Linked DNA regions of Callithrix jacchus. Each later gene encodes a partner of the first gene's protein in a complex. Links are inferred from orthologs where the notes say so. Each region holds a gene or a part of one and is shown on either strand. Other genes may lie near its edges.

What was found. Proteins that work in one complex are often made in the same cells at the same time.
Region 2: the proteins of tubulin alpha-1A chain (region 1) and PIERCE1 are in contact, whole or in part, in a cryo-EM structure (PDB 7UNG), measured with the Homo sapiens proteins. The link is inferred for Callithrix jacchus from reciprocal best matches to the Homo sapiens genes TUBA1A and PIERCE1. Residues at the interface, in NP_001257328.1 of Homo sapiens: Met1, Arg2, Gln15, Asn18, Ala19, Glu22, Cys25, Leu26, Glu27, His28, Gly29, Ile30, Gln31, Pro32, Asp33, Met36, Pro37, Asp39, Lys40, Asp46, Asp47, Ser48, Asn50, Glu77, Gly81, Thr82, Tyr83, Tyr224, Thr225, Asn228; in NP_001041730.1 of Homo sapiens: Tyr28, Pro35, Gly36, Arg37, Phe38, Trp43, Phe44, Arg45, Gly46, Tyr47, Arg48, Thr58, Ser59, Asn60, Gln61, Ala62, Tyr63, Gly64, Arg66, His71, Glu72, Pro74, Phe77, Tyr78, Pro79, Asn80, Ser81, Asn82, Lys83.

The regions. Positions count from the first base shown.
Region 1 is NC_133510.1:70,370,269-70,374,011, forward strand, and holds the start of tubulin alpha-1A chain, read left to right. Parts: upstream 1-1,438; 5' UTR 1,439-1,533; coding exon 1,534-1,536; intron 1,537-3,607; coding exon 3,608-3,743. UniProt on the Homo sapiens protein: Tubulin is the major constituent of microtubules, a cylinder consisting of laterally associated linear protofilaments composed of alpha- and beta-tubulin heterodimers.
Region 2 is NC_133502.1:184,010,148-184,013,890, reverse strand, and holds the start of PIERCE1 (piercer of microtubule wall 1 protein), read left to right. Parts: upstream 1-1,517; 5' UTR 1,518-1,547; coding exon 1,548-1,690; intron 1,691-2,742; coding exon 2,743-2,821; intron 2,822-3,743. Other genes in the region: MRPS2 (small ribosomal subunit protein uS2m), read right to left, coding at 285-410, 598-640. UniProt on the Homo sapiens protein: Microtubule inner protein involved in the attachment of outer dynein arms (ODAs) to dynein-decorated doublet microtubules (DMTs) in cilia axoneme, which is required for motile cilia beating.

The DNA of each region.
Region 1 (3,743 bases):
AAAACCAAAACGAAAAATTATTTGTCAAAATACAAATGTAATTTCAGCTTCTGTGGCCAAACTTATTTATTTACCTCTGAAATTTCATCACCAATATCTGGTGGTACGAAGTCCAGTGACTTATTCTGCATAGCACATCATTGCTGAGAATGAAGCCTTTCTAAATAGCAAGAGAATGTTACTACAATTTATTTCCTATGGGTGAAAGCAAAGCCTTTTTGTCCCAAGAGGCAACTGAGCAACCACCAGAGTCTCTAGTTGAATAGCAAGGGTGTGAGGCTGGCTAAAATTCCCACAGTTAGAATCCACCTGCAGGAGGATATTTACCAAATTGACATAAGAACTACATAAAAAGGAAATGCAGTTATTGAGCTGATGTTTCACCGTTGTCTGTGGATGGAGGCAACATAGCAAAATGGTCTGCTTTTTACATTATGTTATTCTCTTCTTTTAAATTTGGTTTCTTGGTAATTATTATTTTGTTTGCTACTTTTCAGACAAAAGTACAATGCATAAATATAACTGCACACATGTAGGACTAACTTGTGAACTCAATTATTTCTCCTTGTATTTTCCCAATTCTATATCAGGAAAGATGATGCATTCCAAGGACAATGTACCACACAAAATGTGTTACATAGACTTCTCATAAAGGAATACCTCTAATAAACTATTATAACTACTCTGCGTTCACTAGCTATTGTTTAGTGCCATATTAGAACTATGTGTTCGCTTCTTTATTTAGTATGGTTATTCTGCCCATCTTCCAGTTTTGTTTAGCTATTTGGGTGTGCGTGTGCCTGCAAAAGAAGGTCTGAAAATAAATTAGTTGAACCTGAGAAACCATTTTGAATGATTGTATTAATAAATATTTTTTTAAATTAAAAAAAATCACATTTACCCAAGCCATTTTCAGCAATCACGCCCATTTTCTCTCCCACTTTATTTTTAAAGCAATTAGAGACGCTGAACCCTAACAAAACAAAATGTAGTCAAGTCTAATATACTACGAGGAGGGGCTGGCAGTAATTTTCCTCTAAATATTGCATCTGAACACAAATTCTGTTATTAAGTGTAGGGTAAAAAAACCCTCATATAGATAATTTTAACCGCAGTTTGAGATTCAAGCAATATAAAGTCTTCCAACCCAGTCCCCTTTCTTCTCCTTCCGCCCCTCCCCAACCCCACCCCATAATGGATGCTCGGCAGACTGCTTCTGCACGGTCTCTTTGTCTAAAGGATGCAAACAGTCTATGGATGCTAGAGAAAAAAGGGTGGGGGAGAGATTACCTCATCCCACGTCGTTTGCACCAATCACCAGTCTCCTGTCATGACTTCTCTGGGCAGATTGGGGGTCTGGACCAACAGGAAAAGGCCCCAGCCCATCCCCATGGCGACCGAGTTGTATATAGGGAGCCGCATCCGCCCATGTGCCTCAGGTTCTCTTACATCGACCGCCTAAGAGTCGCGCTGTAAGAAGCAACAACTTCTCCTCGTCTCCGCCATCTGCTCGGCAGCCGCGAAGCAGCAACCATGGTGAGAATCGGCTTCCGCTCTTTGTGGCGGTTGGGTGGAGTCAGCGCCCCCAGGGTCTACTTGGAAAACTTTTAAGCACTTTTCTTTCGTAAGCTGTCTGGGCGAGGATCGTCGTGTGCTTTAGCTTTGTCTGCCCCAAGTCCTCAAGCCCCGCCGCCACCGCCGCAGTGGGGGTGCAGGATCCAGGCAAGGACTGCGCCCAGGGCTCAGCCAAGCGCTGGGGAGGGACAAAGGCGGCGCCTGGGCGCCTGTGTCGTCCGAGAGCCTTTCGGGGCTGAGGACAGCCCCAGCCTGTCTGCCGCGACCGAGGGGTCTGGGGCGTCCCGGCTGGGCCCCGTGGCTGTGCGCCCGGTTTCGTTGCCCCCGAGGGGCCTCTTCCGTCTCGCGTCGTTCTCTGAGGACCGCGAGAGGAGGAGGTGTCCAAAAAGAGCGGGGACCGTGGAGCTGGGGGATGCGGGAGCGGGGACGGGAACAAAGCGCAGCCTGGGGTTAGCGTGGGAAGACCCCTCGCGGTCGTTGGCGTTTTTTCCCGGGAAAATACAGTGAGTTTCTGCCGGAGCCCCCGGCAGCGGGTGTCAGGGAGGCGCAGGGGCGGAGTTGTTTGTTTCTGGCTTCTAGGGCGATGGAGCCACGGGGCGGGGTTCGCCCTCACTGAACCTCCTCTGTCAGTCGCAGACTTTAAGAAACGCCTTTCGTTATTGCGAAACTGTAGGCTCCAAAAGGGTTCTTCACTATTATATGTTAGATGACTTTTTTTTTTCTTGAGCAAAATCACAATTCACTTGGCAAGCTCTTCAACGTCTGCCCTGACCGACTGGAGACAGACAGAGAGAGCGAGAGAGAGCGTGTGTGTGTGTGTGTGTGTGTGTGTGTGTGTCTGGGTGTCTGGGTGTCTGGGCTGCATGTTCAGCGAGAGAGAAAGCCCACTTTGTGAGCTCCCGGGTTACCCTGATAGTCAGGATCTAGGAAACGCCCTTCCCCGCCGCCAGCCCCCACCACGTCAGTGAATAGACAATGGAAGTGGTAGCCCTAAAGACCACAGAGGAAGAAAACCTCTATTGGATGCAAAGAATATTAATATTATGTGGTAGGTGAAGAATCTCAAGATGAAAATACTATTTTGTTTTTTTAAATAAATATTTCATTATCCTTCCACTGGGCTTTTATTCTTTGGTAGCTTATGTGATGCTTCTTTCTAACTTAGGAACCTTTTTGTATTTTTTTTTTTTAAGATACAGATAATTTTTCAGCTTTTACAATGGAGAAGATCTGGAAAAACCTTTTTTAAAAAAGAAAAGTGATGAAATTGCTATAGACAAAGAAGGATTATATTCTGTATCCCGTTGTCCTTTGTTCTAGTGAATCTTCATTAATTCATTTCAATTCAGGCACATGGTCCTGGGCTGGGTCAGAGGAGGAAAACTGGCAAAACAGCACAATGAGATCATGTAGGCAGTTGCTGGAAATAGAGCTTGCTCTGTTAAATAATGTAGCAGACAGTACAGGCTAGCACCAGGCACTGCAAATACAGCAATGCAGCAATGCAGAAGGCAGACCTTGTCTAGCTTCTAAACCCTTGGTATTGATGGATTCTGCAGACAGACTGCGGAAGGGTGTGGCTTCTTGCCTCAGCGGCAGTACAGATGTCCCTGTTACAATATCAAGTCCTATTCAGAAGAAACTTTAATCTTTATTTAAAAGCAAACAAAGCAGTACAATTAATCCCAATTAAGTCATGATTGGATTTACTTTATTTTACAAAATTTGTGCTTCGAATGCGGAATACTTTTTAAATATGAAAAGTCTTCTACTATTCAAGCAAGGTAGTAAGAACAATGGGCTGGTACCATGTGCTGAACAGGGCCAAGGCGACATTGTTATTCAGACCACACCATATGCAGCATTTGTAGCAGATAATTTTCCTTAATCTTTGTAGCATGCTGGGGATATGACCTCAAATAATTTTGAAAAATACCTGTATGTTATTAGAAATATTTTTAGAAATGTACTCAAAGTTTGAAATGCTAATACAGCTTAATTATACAATTTTTTTCACTTTTCCTTCCTACAGCGTGAGTGCATCTCCATCCATGTTGGCCAGGCTGGTGTCCAGATTGGCAATGCCTGCTGGGAGCTCTACTGCCTGGAACATGGCATCCAGCCCGATGGCCAGATGCCAAGTGACAAGACCATTGGGGGAGGAGATG
Region 2 (3,743 bases), on another chromosome or scaffold:
GGGCTCCGACCCTCGGTGGGCCAGTGACAACCCCTAGGGAGCGAAGCCTGGGCTGCCCACTGGTCCGCCCGCTCCCTCGCACCCATCCCTGGAGAGGCGGTGGCCTCAGCCTGGGGTGCTGGGTCCGACAGGACTGAGCGGCGGCGCGCTCGGGGGCGGGAGAAGCCCGGCGGGGCGCGCAGCTTCAACCGCGCGCAGCGCCCGGGCCCCTCCAGGGCTCGCCGCCCCGGCGGCTGCTGGCCTCTCCTCGCTCCCACCCGACTCGGCGGGACGCCCAGTGTTACCGCTGCCGTCCTCCGGCTCGCCGATCGCGGGGGCCGCCGCGCTTCCAAGCGTCCTGCGGCTCGGCCGAGCAGGCCCAGGGGTTGGCTCCCCGAGGAGGCCCAGCCAGCGCGACGGGGCCCGGGCGCCTGAGGGAAGCAGACAGAGGTCCTGGCGCCGCGCCGCGGCTGCACCACGCCCGCCCCGATCGCGTCCCCCACGGGTCCCCTCGCCCTCCCCGAGTTCCTTCCGCGCCCGCTCCGGGTCCCCTCCGCCCCCTCGGGTCCCCGCGCGCCCTCCGCATCCTCCTCCCGCGGGTCCCGCAAGCGCGCTCACCCACGCCGAGCATTCGAGGCAGCGCTGCCGAGGAAGGCGCCATGGCGGGGACGTGGACGGGACGGGGCCTCCCTCCGGGCCCGGCCGAGCGGCCTTCCCTCCCGCCACCGTCCGCGCGGGGCCGCAGCACCACCTGCAGGCCTGGAGGAGCCACGGCGCCGTCCCCGGGCCGCAGGGACCTCCCTGCGGGGCTGGCGAGGGGGCGGGGACGGAGGCGGGGGCGGGGCAGACGAGGGGCGGGGACGGAGGCGGAGGCGGGGGCGGAGCAGGCGACGGAGCAGGACCCGGGGTCCGGGGCTCTAGAGTCTCTGGCGGGGAGTGGGGCCACGTTCCTCGCCCTGCAGCTTGCCCCGCCCTGCTAATGTGCCGAGCCGGCCCGGGAGTCCCCTGACCCTTGGGGGCACCCGCTGAGCGATGGGGACCTTCGCCTCCCGCCACGTGAGCTGTGAACCACGTCTCGCGCAACCTCTGGCTCTCCAAAATTGTTTTTAATATTTAAACGATATTTGGCGTAGGAGAATCGCATAGAGTTAGCGAGATCTCGGGTTTCAATTTAGACTCGGGGTGCTGGGGGCGTGGCATCCCTGGAGGACACTGGACAGCGGACGTCCAATCGCTGCCTGCCGCGTGAACCGGCAGCGCTTAAACCCCGTCACCTGGCTGGCGGGGTGCTAGGCCCTGGGGTTCCTTTACCCCGGGAGCCCACGCCCCGATGCTGGGGTGCCCCGGTGCCCCCGCGGGCGGCTGGAGGCCTAGGGCTGCCCCACACGACGGTTCCAGCAGGGAATCCCTGGCCGTCCTGACCTTCCCGGTCCCTGGGGACTCGCCCTCCGAGGAGCCCGGTCCACGCGCTGCGCCTTTAAGGCCCCGCCGCTCGCGCCCCCGTCACGTGACCTGGCCGTCGCTAGGCAACAGGACGCGGCCTAGTCCCGCTTCCCGCCGGAGGCGCAATGGCCGAGGAAAGCCCCAGACCGTGCGGGGAGCCTGTGGAGCCCAAGGCCACGGCCCCGCCGGAGAGGACCAACGACTACTACCGAGTGAGCGCGGACCTGCCGGGCCGATTCAACAACCCGGGGTGGTTCCGGGGCTACAGGTGAGGAAGCCGGAGCGTGCCTGGGCCTGGCGTCCCCTGCTCCATATCCCTGTTTGAGAGGCCCCGCAAGACCCCCAAGATCCTAGCTACGGAAGTCAAGAGGAGCGAGTGGTCATCGGGGGCCCGCGCTGTCATCGCCCACCAGTGAGCTGAGGAAGTGCTCCCTAGAGCCTGATACAAGGAAAGGGTCAGGCGGGGTCAGGCGGGTTCAGGCGGGGTCAGGCGGTGCGGGGCCGCGGGGGGATGAGAAAGCCCAGCTGTGGTCTCAGCTCCGCGGTTTTGTGTCGGATGAGTCACCTCTCCTCTCTACCCTGAAACTCTGCTGCAGGGCATGAGCACAGCAGCACCTCCACTGTCTTGCTGCGGACTGTGAGCTGCCACAGGGCGCCGCAGACTAAGAAGTAGTAAGGAACTTTGAATTCCGACAGGCAGGTGCAGGCATCTGGCGGTGCCCCCGGGTTTGGTTTCTCAACAGTCCTCTAGGGCAGGGTTTGTTCGTATCCTCGTTCTCCCAGAGAGATGATGGGGATGTAGGAAGAATAGTTTGGACAAGATCTGGGGTTACAGTGGAGCTACTCTGTGTGCCTGCAACCTCTCAGTGGCCTGTCCCTGACAGGGGCAGTGGTACCAGTAGAAGCATGGCCTCAGCGAGGGTGGGGGCTCAGAGGCAGAGGGACCCTCTGGGTGGCAGGATCTGGAGGCCAAGCCTCCACTCCTGACAAGGTGACTAAGTTACCCAGAAATTGCAGCGTGTGCCAAGGCCCTGCCAGGGCTGGGGGTCAGCACTTGCTGGCTGCCTGCTCTTCAGGGCTTTGGCCTGCTTTGAAAGAGCAGGGACAGTTGTGAGCAGAGGGGGCCAGGGAAGCTGGGCCATCCAGGACCGTCAGCCAGGCACTCATGGAGGCTGCCTTTGAGGCTGCATCACCAGCCCAGCCAGGCACATGGCTCTTTCCCTGGGAGCATTTCCAGGGGAGTGCCGCCAACAAAATACAAGGCTGTGGCTTGGACAGAATTAGATTGAATGAATGAAAACAGTGTTTCTCATCCACCAGCACCCAGAAGGCTGTCTCAGTGTACAGGACCAGTAACCAGGCTTACGGGAGCAGAGCCCCCACCGTGCACGAGATGCCCGTAAGTGGGAAGCAAGACCGGGTGTTGGGGGGCCAGGGGGTGGGCAGCCTCAAAGAAGAGGCTAAAAACCTGGGGTTCTCAATAGGTCAACAGTGAGACGGGGAGGGGTACACCCAGGGAGGGGCCCAAAGTTCCAGCATGACAAATGGGGAGGAGGGAGGTTCCTCAACTTGTTTGGGAGAGGGTAGGGTGGAACTCAGCGAGTAAATACATTTGGGAGTGGAGTTTTTAAAAGAGGAGGAAAGTGCATATGGACGTGCTGACATCACTCTGTCCGCATACACCCACCACACGCACGGCAGTCACACATGCGTGCTGACATCACTCTGTCCCCATACACCCACCACAAGCATGGCAGTCACACATGCGTGCTGACATCACTCTGTCCCCATACACCCACCACACGCCAGGCAGTCACACATGCATGCTGACATCACTCTGTCCCCATACACCCACCAGACGCACAGCAGTCATACATATACCCAACCATCTCCTGCAGTTTATAGCAGTCAGTTTTGAGGCAAATCAATGAAGGGTTCCTTTCTTTCTGGTATTTTACTTTATGAGATGTTAACTTGTGACATTAAGAGGCAGTACAGGCTGATGGCATAGCCTGTGGGCAGGCAAGGCGCACTGGTGGGCACAGGAGCCTGTGGGCCTTTGGGGAAGCCAAATGCCTTTTGAGCTTGACCTCAGGCCCCCCTAGAATCTCCCGGAACCAAGCCTCCTGCAGGTCCAGGTGAATGGACAGAGGGACCTGGGAAAGTGGGACAGCCATTTTGGGGTGAGAATGTTGTGGGGCGTTTTTTTCTTTGTCAAAACATTCATCATTGAAAGGTCTGGTGAATGCTTATTTAGTTGTGTTGCATGAATGGCTGAGCTCTCGTGAGAAGGTGATTACTTATCTAACACTGCTGGAGCA